2 linked regions of the Lepisosteus oculatus genome follow. The protein of the gene in region 1 interacts with the protein of each later gene in a pairwise test. Links are inferred from orthologs where the notes say so. Each region holds a gene or a part of one and is shown on either strand. Other genes may lie near its edges. The genes, in order: SAM pointed domain-containing Ets transcription factor and nkx3-1.

What was found.
Region 2: the proteins of SAM pointed domain-containing Ets transcription factor (region 1) and nkx3-1 interact in a two-hybrid assay, tested with the Homo sapiens proteins (2 studies listed by BioGRID). The link is inferred for Lepisosteus oculatus from reciprocal best matches to the Homo sapiens genes SPDEF and NKX3-1.

What each region holds. Positions count from the first base shown.
Region 1 is NC_090700.1:29,765,509-29,776,045, forward strand, and holds the start of SAM pointed domain-containing Ets transcription factor, read right to left. Parts: upstream 4,598-10,537; 5' UTR 4,113-4,597; intron 1-4,112. UniProt on the Homo sapiens protein: May function as an androgen-independent transactivator of the prostate-specific antigen (PSA) promoter. Binds to 5'-GGAT-3' DNA sequences. May play a role in the regulation of the prostate gland and/or prostate cancer development.
Region 2 is NC_090697.1:72,161,338-72,170,359, forward strand, and holds nkx3-1 (homeobox protein Nkx-3.1), read left to right. Parts: upstream 1-5,946; 5' UTR 5,947-6,038; coding exon 6,039-6,330; intron 6,331-6,922; coding exon 6,923-7,356; 3' UTR 7,357-7,482; downstream 7,483-9,022.

The sequences.
Region 1 (10,537 bases):
TTATATCACCTGGAGATGACTGAACCAGGTCGTGTCATTGCTGCTCGTGGGTGTGACGGTCAGTACTACTGACTCGTACTGTAGCTCTCAAGTCGTGGGTTTGATTCCAGACTTGGGTGCCTTCTGTGTGGATTTTTGCATGTTCTCCCTAGATCTTCAGCTCCTCTCTCGCCACCCATGTGCAATAGATTAATTGGCGTGTCCAAATTGTTCTTAGGAGTGTGTACCCTGCGGAAAAAAACCTCTCCCAGCTTGTGAGCTAGTCTACTGGGACAGGTCCCTGGTTGCCACTATCCTTAACAGAAGAAATTGATTTTCTGATGAAAGTGGTTTGGCTTCACGAAAGAACTACATAATTGTTACAATTTAAGAAATTTCAGTGCTGTCTTTCTAGTCTTCAAGAAACCTAGTCTTCAAACACAGCTTGTTAACCAATGTGGTCAGGACTGACACCACATCACTGCACAACAGGTCTGAAGATTCGTCTTACTTACGAGTTGCTCTTCAAGCCAGAAAAACGCATTAGGGGTGTAATTGTGTGGTGAGAGGAGGTGTCATAATTGAAGAGTAAAAACACTGGGAAAACAGAAGATTTCTTAAGTGAAAAGATTTTGACTTATTTAAGGCACAGGCAGTTGGACCACTCAGTGAGGAGCTGGGCAACATTGGTTATCTGTTGTAGAAAAAAACTTTTAATTCTCAAACTGGGAATCTGTGCAAAAAGCTTTAAGAATTTCAATTGCAATGTCACGGACTGGAATGTTTAGGACTGTTTATTACAGTTGTCAGTTTATCTTTCTGCATTAAAGAACCTGTCTCTATCCAGACAATTATATATCCTTTTATGAAAATGATTCTTACAGAAGGTGTGATATGTTTTTTGATATCTGATTAATGATCCTCATACTGATTATTGGTCATGCTTATGGTGAAATAGGTATATTTCATCGTATGAAGAGTATGCAATGATAATGATGTGTATGATTTAAGGTAGCAGATTCTATATATACTGTAGATATCTGAGTGTGCTTTCTTGTTTTACATTTTCCATTATTTAACAGTTACTGTACAAGGCACAGCAATGAAAATCCAACGTCAGTTCCTCAGATTGTTAGAACCCAATGTCCTTTTGTAAAACACTGTTTTTAGGCTACATTACAGAACGATTTTTTAAATATGCTAAGGAATTTTCTAGAAAACAAATGTAATGTTAATGAAAGCACTGTACTCGAGTCTCCCAAAGGCTTGATTGCCGTTCTCAAGAATTACTTGCAAACTCTCAAGTGCTTCGAAATTGTGATCTAGAGCACAAAGTGATGCAAAAGCAACTTGGTACATTGAAATTCAGGCGGAAAGATTTAAGTCTGTTTATGCAAGGCCACTGCCTTTATGATGCCCACTTTGATGTGATCATGAGGTGTCACATTGTTGCAAAGGCTTTAACCTTAATTGTACTCAAATTCAACATGTTTTTTTTGCAGGAGAAAACTTCCTCTCCTCTGCCTGTTCTCGCCTGCGTCACTGGACGCGAAACGTCAGTTCCCCAGCGGTGGCTGATAAGGTCTGTTTGCAGATGGTGGAAGAGCCCTGCGAGCTGTTACGCACACACACGTGTGGAAACAGCTGCACTGTGGGACCGGGGGATCCACCCTCTGGCTGGAAAGACCATCAGGAACACCTGACGATTCACAAGGAGCTGGGCTCCCTGGTGAATCAACCTCTGCACACAAAGCACCCCCAGCAGGCTGGCTTTCTTACTGCAGAGCAAAATGAGCTCCACTTCCTTCTGTCTCCAAACTGAGTTGCAACTCAGAAAGTGGGCTTAACCCAATAAAATATGAAATATTCAATTGACCACCCTTCTCAGGTGGTTAAGTGGAACCACAAGTTCATAACTTCTAACTTTAATCCTAATTCCCCATAACAAAACTGTATACATATTTTTAGATGTAATATTTCAAAGTCTTTAGCTTTTTATTGAATTCAGTGACACACTTAACAGGATACTTAGCAAGGCTCTAGTGTGGATACATCTCCAGAGAGTGTCCAATTCGTAAACTGCATTTAACCAGATAAATGATCTATTCCTCTTTTCTGGATTTGTTTCATCTCTGCCTGGAGCTGCATCTCTGCTGATCTAGTTGCTTTTTTGGTGAAGTGGGAAACAATTGTTCTGAAGGTGATTGCATTTGTTTTTAGGCTTTTGTTTTTCCTGTAAATCATGCAAACATTAAACTCTATAAAAGACCGATATACTGTACTGGTGTGTATTCAACAACCTCTATGTGTAGCAATTCTATCCTGATCAGAATATCAAAAAATAAGATGCATGTACAGTATAATAGGATATATTTAGGATCTAACAGGACAATAAACTGAAGTTCCAAACTTTATATAGCCAGGTCTAGGCTTGCATATGAAGGGTGAAAGATTGATGGATGGATAATCTCTCAGTTAAATTGGATTCCAAAGTGAAATTGGCACTCATTTGGGCAGGATAAGAGTTTTTAAATCTTTGTGATTAGTGCAATCCTTCAGCTCTAGGTTGCATTAGGGACTGGCTTAACTGCTTTGACTCAACTTTGAAGGACAGCTCCCAGACAAAGATTTAGGAGGGCTAGAGGCTTTATTGGAGAAAGCAGAAAAACCACACAATTATATGTTACTAAACCATAAAATTGTGTACTCCTCTACCTTTTCAAAACTGTAGAGGACTACACAGCGGCACGCTGTTAAAACCACAGAAGAAACTATTTTGCTCAGACTGAGACGTCACAAAACCGTTTTTTGGTTTTGCTTCATTAAGAAAAGATATGGCTGAGATCAAGCCTAAAATATAGTGTGTGGTGCTCATTGTGTCATTGTCATTACAGATCCATTATAATAAATAAATTAGTTCTTATTATAAGCACAACGCAAAATTAGGTTTAGGGCAGAAAGACTTGGTTTAGTCCAAGATATTCTGATACAGGGATGTTTTGGCAACAATCAACATGTTATCAAACAGTACTTGTTCATTTCTGCTAGGAGACTTACAGTATGATATAATGCACATAAGGGCATATTTTAGACTCATGATGGTAAAAAAAAGTTGCATAGTGCAAAAAAGCAAAAAAAAGGGTACAGTGGCATAGTGTCATTGTAAATGTATAGTAGTGATATAACATAGTACAGAAGATATTACTAGTCCACAATGTGTATGGCAACTATGTTCCTGAGTTGGTTTTCAGTCTACCTGCCATTTCTTTAAATAGTGTAATGTCACTGTATCACAGAGCCTAATTGTTTCAATTATACAGATTATTCCTTTCAATTCAGCTTGATAAAAATGTGAAGACAAGTTATTATATACAGTTTGTATGGTCTTGCAAAACCTGACCAAAAGGTACAATAGGACCCAGTTATAGTTTATGATTTTTAGCAAAACCTTTCCTCCCATGCCCTCAACAGGAGTGCATATTCCACATGTGTGAAACAGAATCTCAGACAGCGCTTCTCAAATTCATGAACTTCACAGATGGTGCACAGTTGGATTGGAAGAGACAATAAACAGCACAAATATTCAGAAAGTGGTATGAAACATACTAAGCAAAATGTGGGAATAAATTCTAATTTACATGTTTGTGTGTTTAGAGAAAATTATAAAAAAAAAATTCCCTGAGGGAAATTGCATTTCTTATTCATGGGTTTCCCCATTCTTACTATTTTTCTTTCAAAAGAAGCCTCTAGTGTTTCAGTGTCACCTGCTTCGACAGGAACTAATTAGAGCAAAGTAGAAAGGTACTGTTGAATGTTTGTCCTTGGTTTCAAACACTTTCAAAATGAAAAGCGGAAAAGTTGGTTACAGACTTGTTTCTTCTCATTTACAGTACGTGTTCAACTCCTGTGTCCCGGAGTCATGTGAATGCAATGCAGGCTCACTGGTTTGCTCATAGAGTTAGGTCATCCAGTAAGTCATTAGGGATATAATTTAATTCCCTTAAAGTGCTCCCATTTCCAAGTGAACCTGATCACTTTGACACTTTTGGCCAATTAATCTTGTTTTGTAAAGCATGTTAGTAATGTCACCCCTATAAACAGACTGTGTATAAAGAAACAGTGCTCTTTCTTACCATGCAACGGGAAGAGCTTCGCAGATCAGTCGCTCTTGGGGAGCTGAAGTCCTCTGTCTCTTTCAATTTGCAGAAACGGGATGCTCTTGCCTCCAGTCCAGAAATGGTCCAGTCAATGGCTTGACTGCTCTGACAGCCCTCTACCCGGAGTCTCAAAAAAAAAGCATCCAAACACAGCAGAGAGCGCCTGAGGTCTCGCACGCAGGTGATGGGAGGGGAACAGGTGTGCTGGACGGATCAGAACGCGTCAGTGGCCCAGTTCGGTCTTCTCCTGGTTCGGGGGGGGGGGATCGTATACATTCGGCTTCCTCTTACAGCTTACAGTGCTCCCCTTACTGTGAGCAGCTCCTGGCCTGGAGTGCGAGGCAAAGGCAGGCAGCTCTACAGGTTAGGTCTAAGAAGGGGCATGCCTGTGAGTGCGTGGGCGAGCTGGCGGGCTGGTGGGCGAGTTCCAGTCAGCTAGCCCCGTCTCCCATCGGCCAGTGTGCCTGAGAGTGAAGCAATGCCTGCTCCATGGACTCAGCTCCTATTTATAGAGAGACCTTATTTACCTGAGTAAACAGCCTGTGTGTGCCTACCTCAGTCGGAGGTATTTAAATATCTCGGAGAGGGCTCTCTTTCCCCCTTAAGGAAGAAACGAAACTTTTGTTTCCTTCTTATTATTTAACCCTTTGTTGGCCACAGCTGCAGGCTGGGAGAGTGAGGGGAGGAGGGCTCTGTGTGCTGAGAAATGAGTTCACAAGCTGCTGGGAATAGATGGCTCAGATGGAAGTTTCCTCCCTGGTTCACAAGGGCACTGCTGCTGCAGCTTGGTTATTTTTCTGAGCTCATCTCTCCCATTCCCCCCTTCTCGTTTCTGCTTCATATTACAATCGCTATTACAATTCTCAGATTACAAGATTACAAGATTTAGGGGTCTGCAGAACTCAGGCTCAGGAGTAAAATAATGGCTATCCAATTCGATTGATGTTATTTTCCCACAAGAGGTGTAGCTTTGATTCTCGGCTGAGTAGTTGTCAAATTTACAGCTTGGCACGCACTGGAAAAATAAAATTTCCTAAAATATCTCCTAATATCTGTTTGGTCCTACATGCTAGAAGGCAAAACAGAAGTATTCACCCACAATTTGTAATGCCCTGTAATAGGATGTGGAGTTATTTAAACACAAAGGCTTTTTGCTAACTGACTCTTTTGTAAATATGATTATATTTTCTGGTCTGCGGGATAGAGATCTTGAGTGTACTACATAATTTGAATAGTTTTAAATAGTTTTTTAACATGTTTTGTCAGCCTTTTTATTTCTGAAAGGGTGTGTTACTATTATTGAGGCTTAAATTGTTTTAAATATATAACTTATAAAGGAATGTTAAGAGATGGTGTGGTCAGTAAAAAAACGTAATCGCACATGCATTGTGATTGTGGATCTAGAATTCCACTACATTGTTTACCAATGTGAAATGACGTGTACGTAACACAATGCCAAGCATAAAATGGAGTAAATACAGCTTAGCAGATAGTATGGCCTTGTACATCACACAGATGCACATGAATAGATTCAATAGTGGGTTTAGACAGATGGAGCAAAAACTGAACAGTTGTGTTTGGCATTGTAATGTAGCAGAGTTGTTTCATATGTACTGTATATTTTTTAAATATGCCCTTCTAAATACCTAGGTAAAATCACAGTAAGGTGTAGTAAAATACAGCAAGATCAGCGCAAAAGTGTGAAAACATGGTAAGATCATGGATAGGTGATCTGTGGGAAATCTGTTCAAAGTGTATAGGAAATCTGCAAAAATCCTGGGCAGATTCATAATAAAATAAGAAGAGTAAAGAGTTAACTGCTCTGAGAATCTGATATAGCTGTTTCTTGAAATAAAAACATTAGCATTAGCAGAGTATTAGCAGCAGCTGCATGGCAGTGAAGCTTCTAGAACTCCACAGTCCTTTCTGTAAAGGGCTGCTCTCAGTTTCAGACGCACTTCCATTTACTTTCCAATTTGTCCTCTGCCTCCTGTCGCACTGCTCATTCTGAAAAGTAATCCACTGGGTACACTGTGTCAGGGCCTTTGAGGGCCTTTTTGAATACTTGTATCGGGTCCCCTCATAGTCTTCTGTGTTCAAGTACAAAAACGGTTAATTTCCTTCAGATTGTCAGTGTTGGACTCTCAGTTCAGACTAAAGAGACTCCGTTTCTTCAGTCTGTCAGTTTGGGACACTCCCTTAAGCCCCAGAATGTATCTGGTTGCAATCTAGACTGACTCCAGAGCAGCGATATCTTTTTATAATGTGGTGATAGAAAATGTAGAATTATATTGTAAATGAGATCTTACTAGTGCAGTGTACAATTTCAACATCCCTTGATATAAACTGCACATTTAATAAGAACACAAGATTCACCATGGTACAGTAGAGGTCTGTTATCACCATTTCTCAGCCCCTATTCTACAATCGGTTTTATAGAAGGGTATGAAGGATATTCTTGACTACATATTTAACAATCATATGAATCAATTAAAAGATGTTAATTTTAAGTTTTCTGCAGGAGCCAGTTTTGTGTTGTGCACTGCACTGAGCCTTGTTCCTTAAATGGTGGTGTTCACATCAACTCGATGTTATGCCAACTAAAATACAGTGCACTCTAGAAGAATGTGGACAGTGATGTCTAAACTGGAATTTTCATTATAAACCCTAGCAGTCATTTATCACGAAAAAATATAACTGGTAAGTACGACTTTTATTTATATATATAATTTTTCCTTAATTTGATTTAGTTCAGTTCAATCATCTTTGGTCAATGAAAATGATATTCTGAAGGAGAAAATGTATAGCAATAATTGGCTGACTGGAGTTTATTTATGACAGTCAGCTGTTAATTGGTGGATAATTAGGAACTCACAAAGGAGCTGTGAACCTGACTGCCAGCTTGACTTTACTTTGGCTTCAGCGATTAGCTACAGAGTCTGTAGTCACAACTTAATAATAATTTAAAAAAATAACCAAAGAGCTTTCTCTTAAAAGCTGGCAATTATGAAGCGGGGAGAAAACAGAACTAAGTCTGAACCACGACACAGACATTGGCCAAACAAAAAACAAGAATTTGAAACTTTCCAAAGACAAAACGAAACCACGGCTATTATTACTATATACCGAAAGGACTGAGTCAGCCAAGGAAAACATCTGCAGACGATGACAGATAAACTAGCAGAGCTGTCAAGGAAAACAAGAAAACCTCTGTCAGTGAAATCTGCAACAGTCTCTGGAGTGAATGGGTGAAAGTGTCAGAACCCACAGTTCACAGAAGACTTAGCAGATTTACAAAGGCTGCACTGCAAGATGTAGACCTTTCATCAGCTCCAGGAACAGAAGAGGCAGACTGGACATTGTTCAGAAGGAAAACAAAGAGCTGGGAGAGTTCTGGAACAATGTTGTAGGGTCAGATAAGATCGAGATAAACCTCTACCGAAGTGATGGAAGATTTACAGTACAGTGAAATAAAACTGCAAATACTTTACAGGACCCCATCTGTAAAGCATGGTGGAGGCAGTGTCATGGCTCTGGAACTGATCTTTATTGATGATACACTATAAGTAATGAAGGCAGCAGCAAAATGAATTTGGTAGTTTGCTGAAATATTTTGTAGAAGAAACTGCTGCCATACTCATGGGACAAAAAGGAAGAAAATGTGAATGTGGAATACCTAAAATTAGCCAAGATTTCAATCAAATGGAGCAGACATGCAGAAAAAATAAAGTCAGAATGCTCCATGATCAAGAATAGGCCAATTATCAATGTGACTGCAGCAAACTCTCTCAAATGGTTATACACAAAGGATTTGGGGAGCTCAACATCTCTTGGGCATCGTGCAGCTATTGGCTCAATAGGATATGCAACTAAATATTTCACTCTATGAACTTAACTTAATTTGAGTGTCCCCCAAAACTTTGGCTTGAGCTCAAAGTATGCTTTTGTTCCAATTTGTATACTTGTAATTAACCAAAATAAAAGGTATATAATATTTAGAATTCATATAAATCTCACGATCTTTTCAAAGATGATATTTTCAGATTTTCAAGTCAGCAGAAGGAGAGTACAACACATGTAGCACCATGAGCCCTTTTCTACAGCACCTCTACACAAGACGTTGTGTTTCTTTTCTTCTCTTTTCAGCATGGAATAAACCTTTACTTGTTCCCTTGAAGCCTAGGCATGCTGACGCAGCTCCCCACTTGAACCTGTTCTTAAGCAGACTCTACTGTAAATCTATCAGGATGCTAAATAAGAAGTTATTATTTGTTCTGTAGTACATTAGTAGCTGTGATTTGTGGTAAAAGTAGCATCATTACATTCTCATAATGACCATGGCTACTGTACATAGTAGACAGTGCTCCTGAGATTTTCCAGTTTTTGTTATTGTTATTCCCTGATTAAACTGAAATTGGTTAAATGTTGTTTGCTATTCATTTGAAAAGCAGTATATTCATCTTGTGTTTGCCATACAATAGAAAACGTTTTCTTCTCTTTGCCTTCTACTGGAGTGACAGGAGTTAAATATTATCATGGAACAGGTGATTACTATGATGACAAATCAGGGTGTGTGCTGCAGGAATTGTGAACTATCTGACACAGAAGAGGGAAAGACCAGTTTTGAAGCTCAAGTTCCAAGCAATTACGTTGTATTTTGGCCCTAATGTAGAAAGTAATATGCAAATGTCCCCATGAACTTGTGCTCCTACTGTTATTTGTGCTTTGTTACCCTGATTGAATCACACTGAATATCTGCACACTAGTCCTGTCAGTGATCAGACCCCATGGTCACTGGGATTAATCTAGAAATCCGTCATAATCTGTGCAATTTAGGGCTGTACGTCTTAATCAATACAAGATAAAGGAAATTAAAATTAAAATGTCACTCATTTAATGTGTGAAGCTTATGCCATATATGTCTTAATTGATTTGTGTTTACCAATTAAGGGCAATACAAAGTCTTGCAAAGGAAGAGAGCAAACACGGCAATACAGCGACCGAATAATTACAGACGACAAATAGCGATACAATGATATTTACACAGTGCCTGGATATTTCGTCTCTGGATGTGTTTATATATACAATGTATCCATATAATAAATACGCTAAGATTAGATTCAAACGATTCTGATAAATAACTTTGCCACCGACGCACTGTAGAACAAGTACCAAACAGCTATATCACCACACATTGCAGTTAATTAAAACCCCCTAAATTGCTATGTATTCATATATTAAAGCTTGCTTTTATTGAGAGTTATATTTGATTATCACATTTCAGGGCTACACAGTTGTGCAGTGGTTATCATTGTTGCCTTGCAGTGCTGGGACCTGGGTTCAATTAGTGGGGACTCACTGCACGGAGTTTCTGTATTCTCACTGTGTTTCCATGGTTTCCTTCTGGTGCTCTAGTTTCTTCCTACAGTCCAAAGATGTACTGGTACTGTTGGTGAATTGGCTTCTGGGAAAACTGGCCCTGTTGTGAACGTGTGTGTGTGTGTCAGCCCTGTGATGGACTGGTGTCTCATCCAGGGAATATCCTGCCTTGTTCCTGTTGCTTGCTGGGCTCTGGCTCCCCTGTGACCCTGACTTGAATGGAGCTCTTAGAAACTAGATAGATTTCAGCATTTCAGTTTTAACTACACTTTCAAATGAAATCCATTTTCCTGAATTAATGTGCACCTTCAAGACCCCTGGGGACAACGTACATACTGTGTACAGTAATTAAGCTACACTATCCAGTGTGCCTGTGGTGTGATGTTAACTTAATGAGTTAATCTCCTGCAGTGTAGTAGGTCAAGGAAGAAAGCAGTTTTACTTTTTCAAGAGAGAATGAATTCCTGCTGCCAGCTTTTACATCTTTTATGTTTCATTGCATTAGGAATATGATCTCCCGAGTCTGAGGAGTTTTTTCTCCGTTATTCAGAAATACACATTCACTTTAAATATCATTTGCATGATGTGACTGTAACTCTGATTGCAGCGCAACCTCCAAATTTGCTAAACAAATGTGTGGAAAGGAGCGGGTACGTGAGTGATTTTGGCTTGCGCTTGGAAAGCAAGCTTTTTGTGTGTGTGTGAACCACATTTCAAAGCTTCTGAAACAATTGCTCATGTAGACCCGATGAGATTAGGTCCGGGAAAAGCTTGCAAAGGTTTGGTACTGATATATTGATAGAGCTGACAAGGTTGCCAACGGAGTATTTTGTAAGCAACCTTTTGATGACGGGAGAGAGAGATATGTAGGGCGGTGTGATCTAACACAGTTAGTTTTCCCATAATTTGGACTAAGATTTTAAAGGGTTTTGGAGTGCCAAACATGGAGAGACCCAGAGTGGAGATATGCCAGGGGAACGAGTTAATGTTCAACTGCGTTTGATTTGGAACTGAAAGCATTC
Region 2 (9,022 bases), on another chromosome or scaffold:
ATAAAACCCTTAGTCCAGCAATATTCAATCACCTTTCTCTGAGTTCATAGCTTTGCCTTTTACTTAAGTAAAACCATTGTAATTTTCACTCGGGTTTTAAAGTAAATGTTTAAAAGAATTCTAACCACTAAAAACTCCTGTAAATATATACAGGCCTGAGAAAGAGCACTGCAGCAGTAATTGAGATCGAAATGGAACCCCAGAAATGATCGATTGAGGGGTCTCCATTGGACTGGCACTACACAGTTAGTAAAAACACAGAGCAAGCCAGTTCAAGACATATGGTTTCCTGGACTAAGAGGTCAGAAACCTCACTATCCCACATCTGGTGGTGGATTAGGCTAGGTCACTGGATATCAGGGCAACTGCGTTAGCTACAATAACAAAAAAAAGGCCAAATACATATTCCACAGGGACACAAGACTTGTGTGACACAACCAGTGTTCTTCCCATCACGTTCCTTGTGTTACGTTAACAAGGCCTCAGGATGACATAGCTGGTTGAACTTCCAAATCAATACTGTACCACTGCGCATTAGTTATTAAGACTGACATCAGCAAGAGACTTTACATAGGAAGTACACATTTAAGAACACACTCGCATATATGCTATTATCAACATGACACTGATATGCAAGAAATGGATTATGGTTTCTAACATTTTTAGATTGGTCAAGAGTCTTTCATTTTGTTAATTGTCTATCCAATGAGGAAGCAAAATAACAACCTGACACAACACCCAATTAAATGAAGCAGCACACTCGCACATACTATAAAGTGTGTAGGAGCATTTACAAAGGCCCCAGGACCATGTGGCTGGCTGGCTGTGATAGGAAAGTCCGAGCAGTGCAGATACCTCATTTGAAGGTGCAGATACTTAATTTGAAGTATAAAAATCAGAAGCAAACATTAGACAGTAGCTTGCTCTCCACCTGTCCTGTATAGCAACAGCAGGTAAAGAATTTCCATATTGATCATGATAACTGCTCTCACAACCTTCTGACCCTCCATATGAAGAAGTGCCATTTTATTCTAACGACCTGGGAAGATACATGTGCTTGGATTTAATTAGGCATCTCAGCGCCTGTGTATGGTCTTTTTTGTTTGTAGCTGTTTCTTAAAATTGCAAGAAATAAACGGAAAAAGCAAAGCAAAAAAAAAAACAGACATCCCAGACATCACTGGGCCAGGTCAGCAGTGACAAGAGAGGCAGCAGTTCAGGAAGAGTGAAGCACAGCCCAAGCGGTCAGACTTTTTGTCTGTGCTGCCTGTTTAAACTTCTGGGGGCTTCTGTTATTGTAAAGGGGGACTGGAGACGAGGAAGCTCCAGACCTTTCCCTACCTAAACCTAAAGAGGTCAGTCCAGTACAGCGGGCCAGCAAACAAACAAATGGAGCAGAATGTGTGCGTCAGGTGAAGTACCACAGCTAATGATTTGGCCACATTGCTGAAGAAACTCCCACTGGGCCACCCAGACAGCTCCACCACTGCAAGACTCTCTGGGCCCTGCTCAACAGGAACTTAATTCACTCCCCAGAACCCAGGGTGAGGGTGCTCTGACACTCAGGGCACATCTGAAAATACTACAGCTATCCCGTTGCACAATAAATCTTTCACAGCTGTTTACCAGCCAAACAGATAAGAGTCCCAGGAGCTGTATCCAGAGCTGTGTTGAGTTGTTATCTGGGAGATAGTCTTATCTTACAACTGTCCTGTACAAGCCAGCATTGAATACATTTCATTCATTCCTACTGAACACACAGGGTAGGAGGGAGGAGGGTTGCATAATTCCTTTTTCTTCAACCAAAAATATCAGTTCTTTTTACTTACATGGCATTCAGAAGAAGTTAATTTTTAGCGCGATACACACTGCACTAAGAAGCATCTACATTGACTTCGTTAATATTCAATGTTGGTGTTGGGTGGTATCTTGTACAGAAAACAGCAAATCACTTGATTAAAAAAAAAGAATTGCATGACACATAGGACTGTTCTGTGAAACAAAACTTCCTGGGTGACCTAAAGGGTATGACTCTGTGTTTATTAAGGTACCATAACCAGATACATAGACAGGACTTGTGGTTAATACATCATCAAGAAATACCCAAACAGATAAAAATCAAAATAGCAATGCCATAAGATTATGATGATGATGATAATTAAACTGGTTCAGGTTCTAACCAGACATTGTTAGTAGTTTGGAAATATTTAGAAACATCTTGAAAAACAAATAAACTACTCACTTTAACCCTGACCCAGAAAAATTCTTCATTCTCCGCCCTGTAAAAGTAAACAACAACTATGCTACACAAATAATGCCACAGATACAATATCAGGCTAGTAAAAACAAGAAATCCCAATCTGACACATTCTGGGTCTAACTTTGACTGAGTTGTACATTTTTACTTTGTGATGATGATGATAGCCGAGCTATTTATGAGGGATGTATAACAGATGGGGTGACATTAACACACCACAGTTTCCTTCTCCGAGCCAGTTTCAACTGTTTTCAGAGGCCTTCTGTTGACGACACAAAGCTGTAGGTCACATCATTAAGTGGTAAAGATCTTTATGAATTAATATATCTGATGCCTTTAAGCAAAGCAGCTTGAAGAGGTTACAATCACCATATTTTCTCAAATGATGGTTCAGATTAAACCAGGTGGGTTTGCTTTAAATACCTTGCTAGGAGGCATAGCATCAGCTGGATTTGAACTCACAACCCTCTGGTCTGGAGTCCTCTGGCTCACCCTCCAAAAAACATCCATGCCTATGTTTCTATATTATTATTGTTGTTGTTGTTCCATTGCCTTTTTTTCCCCCACAAAGTGAAATTTTTGAATGATCTGCAAAACCATATGAAATCCTTACTGAAATGTCTCTTGACATATTTTGAATTTTGGAGAAATTTCTCCCGCTGTAGCTGGGTAATCTGGTGTATGAGGACAGAACCAACACTGTAAAAATATATCAGAATGCAAAACCAGAAAAAAAAAACTGTGTGCTTCCACAATATATGTACCATACACCACTGACCTCAGAGCAACTAGGGGACTCTGCACCAGAGACCACATAATGTAAATTAAAAGAGGATAAACTTTTATTAAAGATGGACTAGAAATAACTGCAGAAAGTAATTCTAGCTCAACATTAATGATATATGTTTTTAGGTTATGTTTGTATATATTTGAAATAGTTATGCTGGAAATCTTTTGGTAAAGCATTTATCAGCATTTTGTAAAATAATGAAATAGATGGATGGTTCTGAAATGACTCTGGACTGGACCCAAATACAGTGTAGCAGTATTCAGAATCAAATAGCCCTTATATGCTGCTCCGCACAGGAGCTTGCACTTGAATGTTGCCAGTTGGCACCATACCAAAAATTATTTCAGCACATTTTGTTTTTTTATGAGCATCAATACTCTTTAATAACAGCATCCTCAGCTCCACTTGAAGTGAAAACTAAGGCTACAGAAATGCATCACAACTCTGGAACTGCTCATCATGATGCAACTTGAAATGAGCACTACAGCTAAAAAAAATAAAAAAAATAAATGGCACTAACGAGAAAGAACGATGTTGTATCAGCCATAGGAACCAGTGTTTTTCAGTAATCTGTTTACTGGGATGAACAATGAATTAAACCCTCACCAGGACCTTGAGGCGTTATCTTATCTCATGTTTATAACCTCAGAAACTACTGTTATTTTGCTAGTTACATCTAAGTGTAGGTTAATTAATGCTCAAAGACAAAACACACAACAGACTTACCCACCTTCCTGCAGTTCACTGCTTTGCTCTTGTTAAAAATGTCTTTGTTCTTATTAAATTAAATTGGTTGTGGTGTATCAGTCATTAACATCCAATTATACACAACCTATGGTCAACATGTAAACTGGAGACAATCTGTTATTTGGTATTAAATGATATGTCAAATGTAACAGAGTAAGCCTACAGTCCATTGTCTACAGAACGGCTTCCCAGCTCCAGTCCTGGAGAAACACTGTCTTCTGAATTCCATTCCAGCTGAGCTCTATATCTCCAGCGCTAATTGGTGATTTAATTGGGCTGTTCAGGTTAATTGGGCTTGTTTATACTTTTTTTCAACATATTGCCTTGGTCAGTACTGAATGTAAAAAATAACCTACTTCGTGGATTTCGGTTTCTAAATATGTCAGTGCACAAACGTTCCTCATCCACTCCGTCACCACATCGGCCATTGCTTCTCATGAAAACCGCTCCTGCCTCCTGATCAGCGGAGGAAGAACAGCCGCAGGTGGGAATGACACAGTAGAAGACACGCCCACGATTTCTGCCTCCTCCAGAGGGCTAATATCTTACATTTCAGGCACCGTGCCCAAACGAGGGTGGTTCTGAAAACGGAAGTCAGAACTGGGTTGATACTAATTGAATTGCCAATTCAGTCGGTTTACAAAACTTACAAATATTTTCAAAATAGAAAGCTGAAATCAATTAACGTGTGGTTAAGCATAAATCCAACACAGTGGTCCTGCAGTCCTACAGACTCTTCAATCTGTGTACCTGTGTGTAGGTATTTAATAGCCTAACATTTCCTTATGACTTGTAACAAGTTATATACAGTATATAGCATTATATTTTAGAAGTAATAAGAACAAATATGGCACATGGTCTGATCTACTCAATCCTTTGTCATTATGCAGTGAAGCTGTAGAAAGCCATAATTTTAGTTTAGAAATATTTTGAATAAAATGCTCCAACACAAGGCATCAAAGGTAATACCAATTGCATTTCTGTAGACAGAGTGAAAGAAAAAACAGTTTTCCCACCAAAGCAAATTGATGCTTTTCAAGTAATGTAGTATTGTACTGTAGTCCTCACATAAAATTATTTTTCCAAATAATACTAATTGCCATTGATAAGCAAAAGTTTCGTATTGCTTTACTTTTCTGCTGCATTTAATCCGTCCTGTGCATGAAATTCCCGTTAATGTAAACGGTGATTTTTGTCAAATCTGAACATTTCAAACGCATATATTAACAGGCGTATTCAAAATACTTTTATTTTCCCCAAGCCTACCTGCCAGCGCAAATGGAAACCTGATTTAGAAATAATAATATTACAAATGGGGAAATTGTCTTCGTGTCGTTTAATTGTTCATGAACAAACTGTACAGGTGCAAGAATTATTAGTCGTTAAGTCGTTTAACGACTGATTGTGAGGCAGAACATGTCTAGTGCATACAATATGTTACAGTTTCACTACATAATTTTTAAAAAAATGCTGTCATTTTGAAATATTTCATGTTTCACGTATCCTAACATTTGCTACGGCTACGCGCATTCACTGTTAATCAGTGCAAATTTCTCTTTTTATTATTTGCGAAGTGCAGCTTAATATGGTTTAATTTCTGCGAGGATGCCCAGTTTGTTTTTTTAAATGCAGTGAGTGAAAAAAACGTAAAGATCACGATAAAACACTGAAATCCGTTAAAATATTTAAAAACGTAACGATTGCCCACAAACAATCATAAAAGTCCTATGTGTATTTTTTACCATAAAACTAAAATTCGTTCAAACATTTTAAAAACGTAACGATTGCCTACAATCATAAATATCCTATGCATATCTTACATACAGACCTAACATCCGTGAAAATCTTTTAAAAAACTTTATAGCGATTGTCTATAAATAATAATAAAGGTTCAATGCATATTTTCTACATATGAAACTCAATTAACATATGAAATTGAAAAGTACTGTAGATGTCATCACTGCGCAAGGATAGACTATCCGAAATAAAAACACCGTAGTGATTTATCAGGTAAAAAAAAGTGTGAACTGAGCAGATCTGTTTCTGTCATTAGCTCCGGCCCAGCCAATGATATTCTCCCTATGAGTCACCTTCCAATGAGAAGGAACGACAACGTCTGCGATTAGTCCTGTATAAATCGAGGAGGCGCAAAGGAAAGAGCTGCAGAACGGTTTTAAGATCCTATTGATCATAGAACAAAATCTGTTTCTTGCTGTGGGACCAAGCTGCTGTGTGGCTGACAGAATGTCTGCTTCTGTTAAACCGTTAACGTCGTTTCTTATTCAAGACATTTTGGCCTTTAAGGAAGAGTCACGCTTGAGCACCCCAAGGTACGCCTGTGCCAAAGAACCGAGGGAACGCGATAAAAGCCCCGACAGCATCTCGGCAGGTCGGGACACACGGTGCGCCACTGGCGAAAGGGCTTTTGCGTGTGCAGATTCCACAAACGAAGACATCCAGGAGTCTTTCAGCCATGCTCGTGAGACTGGCTCACACGACAAAAACACCTCGACGGACTTGAAGGCTGTGGGAAACGGTGAGGAAACTCCACAGTCTTCTGCAAACTTCCGAACGGAAGATCTAAACGGGTTACAAATTCATCTTCGTGGGGAAGGAAGGGGAAATAAGTTTTAAATCTCGGGTGATGGGAGAAGGATTTGCGCAGAACCATTCTAGACAGTTTGCATTACATTTCTAAAGGCGCAATTTGACGTTTTTATTGTAAAAGTTGTTGTGAATGCCAGGGTGTAAAATAATCGATAAACTAGAATATCGGTCCGTTGGGCTACCTGAAATCTGCGCTCTTACAATGTAGCTAGTAAACGACAGGAAACATCTGTTAAATCTAGTCAGTCCTGATCAATGACAGACATTTTTAAAAAATAACAATTTAAGGACTGTCATTATCCCATTAATTTCACTGTATGTTGTAATAACCTAAATGAAAACAAAAAAACAATGCATTATCATTACCCTTAAGTTATAACCTTAAATGGCCTTGGGATGATATAGCCTTTCATAAAAATAAAGTCTGTAATCTGTGTTGCCTTTCTTATAGGAAATCGAACATTGTTGGCATGATGTGTTGTAACCGAAAAACAGCTGAACAAATGATTTTGTCCCCGCAGACCGCAACGAAAGACCGCCTTGTGGCAGTTCCCCGGAGTGTGGCCGCGGCCGGTCCGCGGACAGTCGGAGCTCAGGCGGTAAGCAGAAGCGCTCCCGGGCGGCGTTCACGCACTTGCAGGTGCTGGAGCTGGAAAAGAAATTCAGCCACCAGAAGTACCTGTCGGCCCCGGAGAGGGCGCACCTGGCCCACAGCCTGCGGCTCACGGAGACACAGGTCAAAATCTGGTTTCAAAACAGGAGATACAAAACCAAACGGAAACAGCTGGCTACCGAATATGGCAAAGACCCCTTTAAAAGAGCCACTGGACTGCCTTGCTTGGGCACGGAGGAGGACTTGATAAGAGCGTCACTGTTCGCGACCATGTACAAGACTTACCACGATCAACAGCCCTGCCTTTATGGGCTAAACGTATGGAACTCTGCTGTGTGGTGAAAACCCGAAACGGGCCCTCAATAATTTATATTTTTTCAGTTATGCTGTTTTCTATATTATATATGTGATACAAAATAAAAACATGTAAATATTATTTCTTTTTTATAATAAACCTTTTTTCACCTATTGGTATATTGCTTATAGCTTTTCTCTTTTTGGACTTGGGGGGGCGAGGTTGGTTATGAAGTCGTTAAAGTAAATCTCATATAAATTAAGTATTCAAATTCTGCCCTGAAATACTAATTTTAGCACTCCTTTCCTCCTAACACGTATTCTGTTAAGAAATCCAAGCACACTTCTGTTTGCCTTTTGTTCTATTTAAATGACACACATTTTCCTTTAGCCTTTATGCTTAATACCAGTAAATTAAATGAGTAATAACATTCACATATGCCTAATATGTACACAACACCAACGATCATAATGCACTATTAAGAAAACCATAATTAGAAAAATGCATAATTAAACTTCACGCTACTGTACATATGCAGTATAGCAATATTATTCTTGTATGTTTTCCTGCTGTAAACACACATCAACTCTGATATGTGTTGAGAATATTGCTCAATATATATTATATAGTGACATTCATATAAGTCGTATTGCATTAATTTAAATCTTCTGACGTCAATCCTTTCATTCTGAAGACAGTATGTAACTATTCTACATCGATGTGTAATTTTGTATTAATTTTTATTTATTCAGTACATTACATTTAAATCAAATAAAATCTTTCCAACAGTAGCTGTTTTCTGTGTGACTTATGTGGGTCAGGCTTTTCATGTGGAGAAATCCTGCAACACATTTCAATGTGTCTCTCATGATGGAGACTCCTGCTGGATTAAATCTGAGATTGTGGCAATAGAAACAAGCTCTTCAGTTCGTGGGCTAACAATGATCGCAACTGTATTCAAATTCTGCTGAAATGCACAAACTGGCACCAGTACACTGGATACAGACAGGGAGTCAAGTAAAAACATGGGGGCCTTTTCAAATCCTGTAGTTTGAGTTATTAAGATAGAGATCAAGGTACCTGTATTGCAGGTTTATCATTTACTCTGGGTGAGGTGGTGGTGCCTTGTATCTCAAGAACCCCTACATACATCATAGTATTATCATTTTGTCGATAGCTTGAAAATATCAGAACAAACCAATCCACAAGAAACTATTGCAACCTGTTCAGGCTGTCAGGGGCAGGATGTTTCATTCAGTATGTACTGTATGTTAAATTTTGTGCGTATAGATAGAAAGAAGATGAAGAGGAAAGTTTATACGACTCGTATTTTACATGATCTAGTTTCTCGCTGAATATTATAGCCAGAACAAGGTGCTTAGATGAACACATTTATGTACTTTGCATCCAATTTCATTAGTGATGTGATTTTAAACTTTCCTCAAATGCTGGTGTTGCCTCTTCATTTTGTGCTTTTCTGGACAATTCTGGGATCTCTAGGAAACTGATGCTTTTGAGCACTTGAGTTGTTTGGAAAGTAGTGCACAATAAAACTAGCAGGTTTGAACTGGTTCATTGAATATCACACCATATATTACTGTTGCTATCCAGTGGAATTCTTGTTTTCCATTCTAACTGCTGAGGCACAAAACTACCTCAATAAAAGTAGGGTGTTGGTAGAAGCAAGCTACTGTAGCTTAGCACTATTGTTAC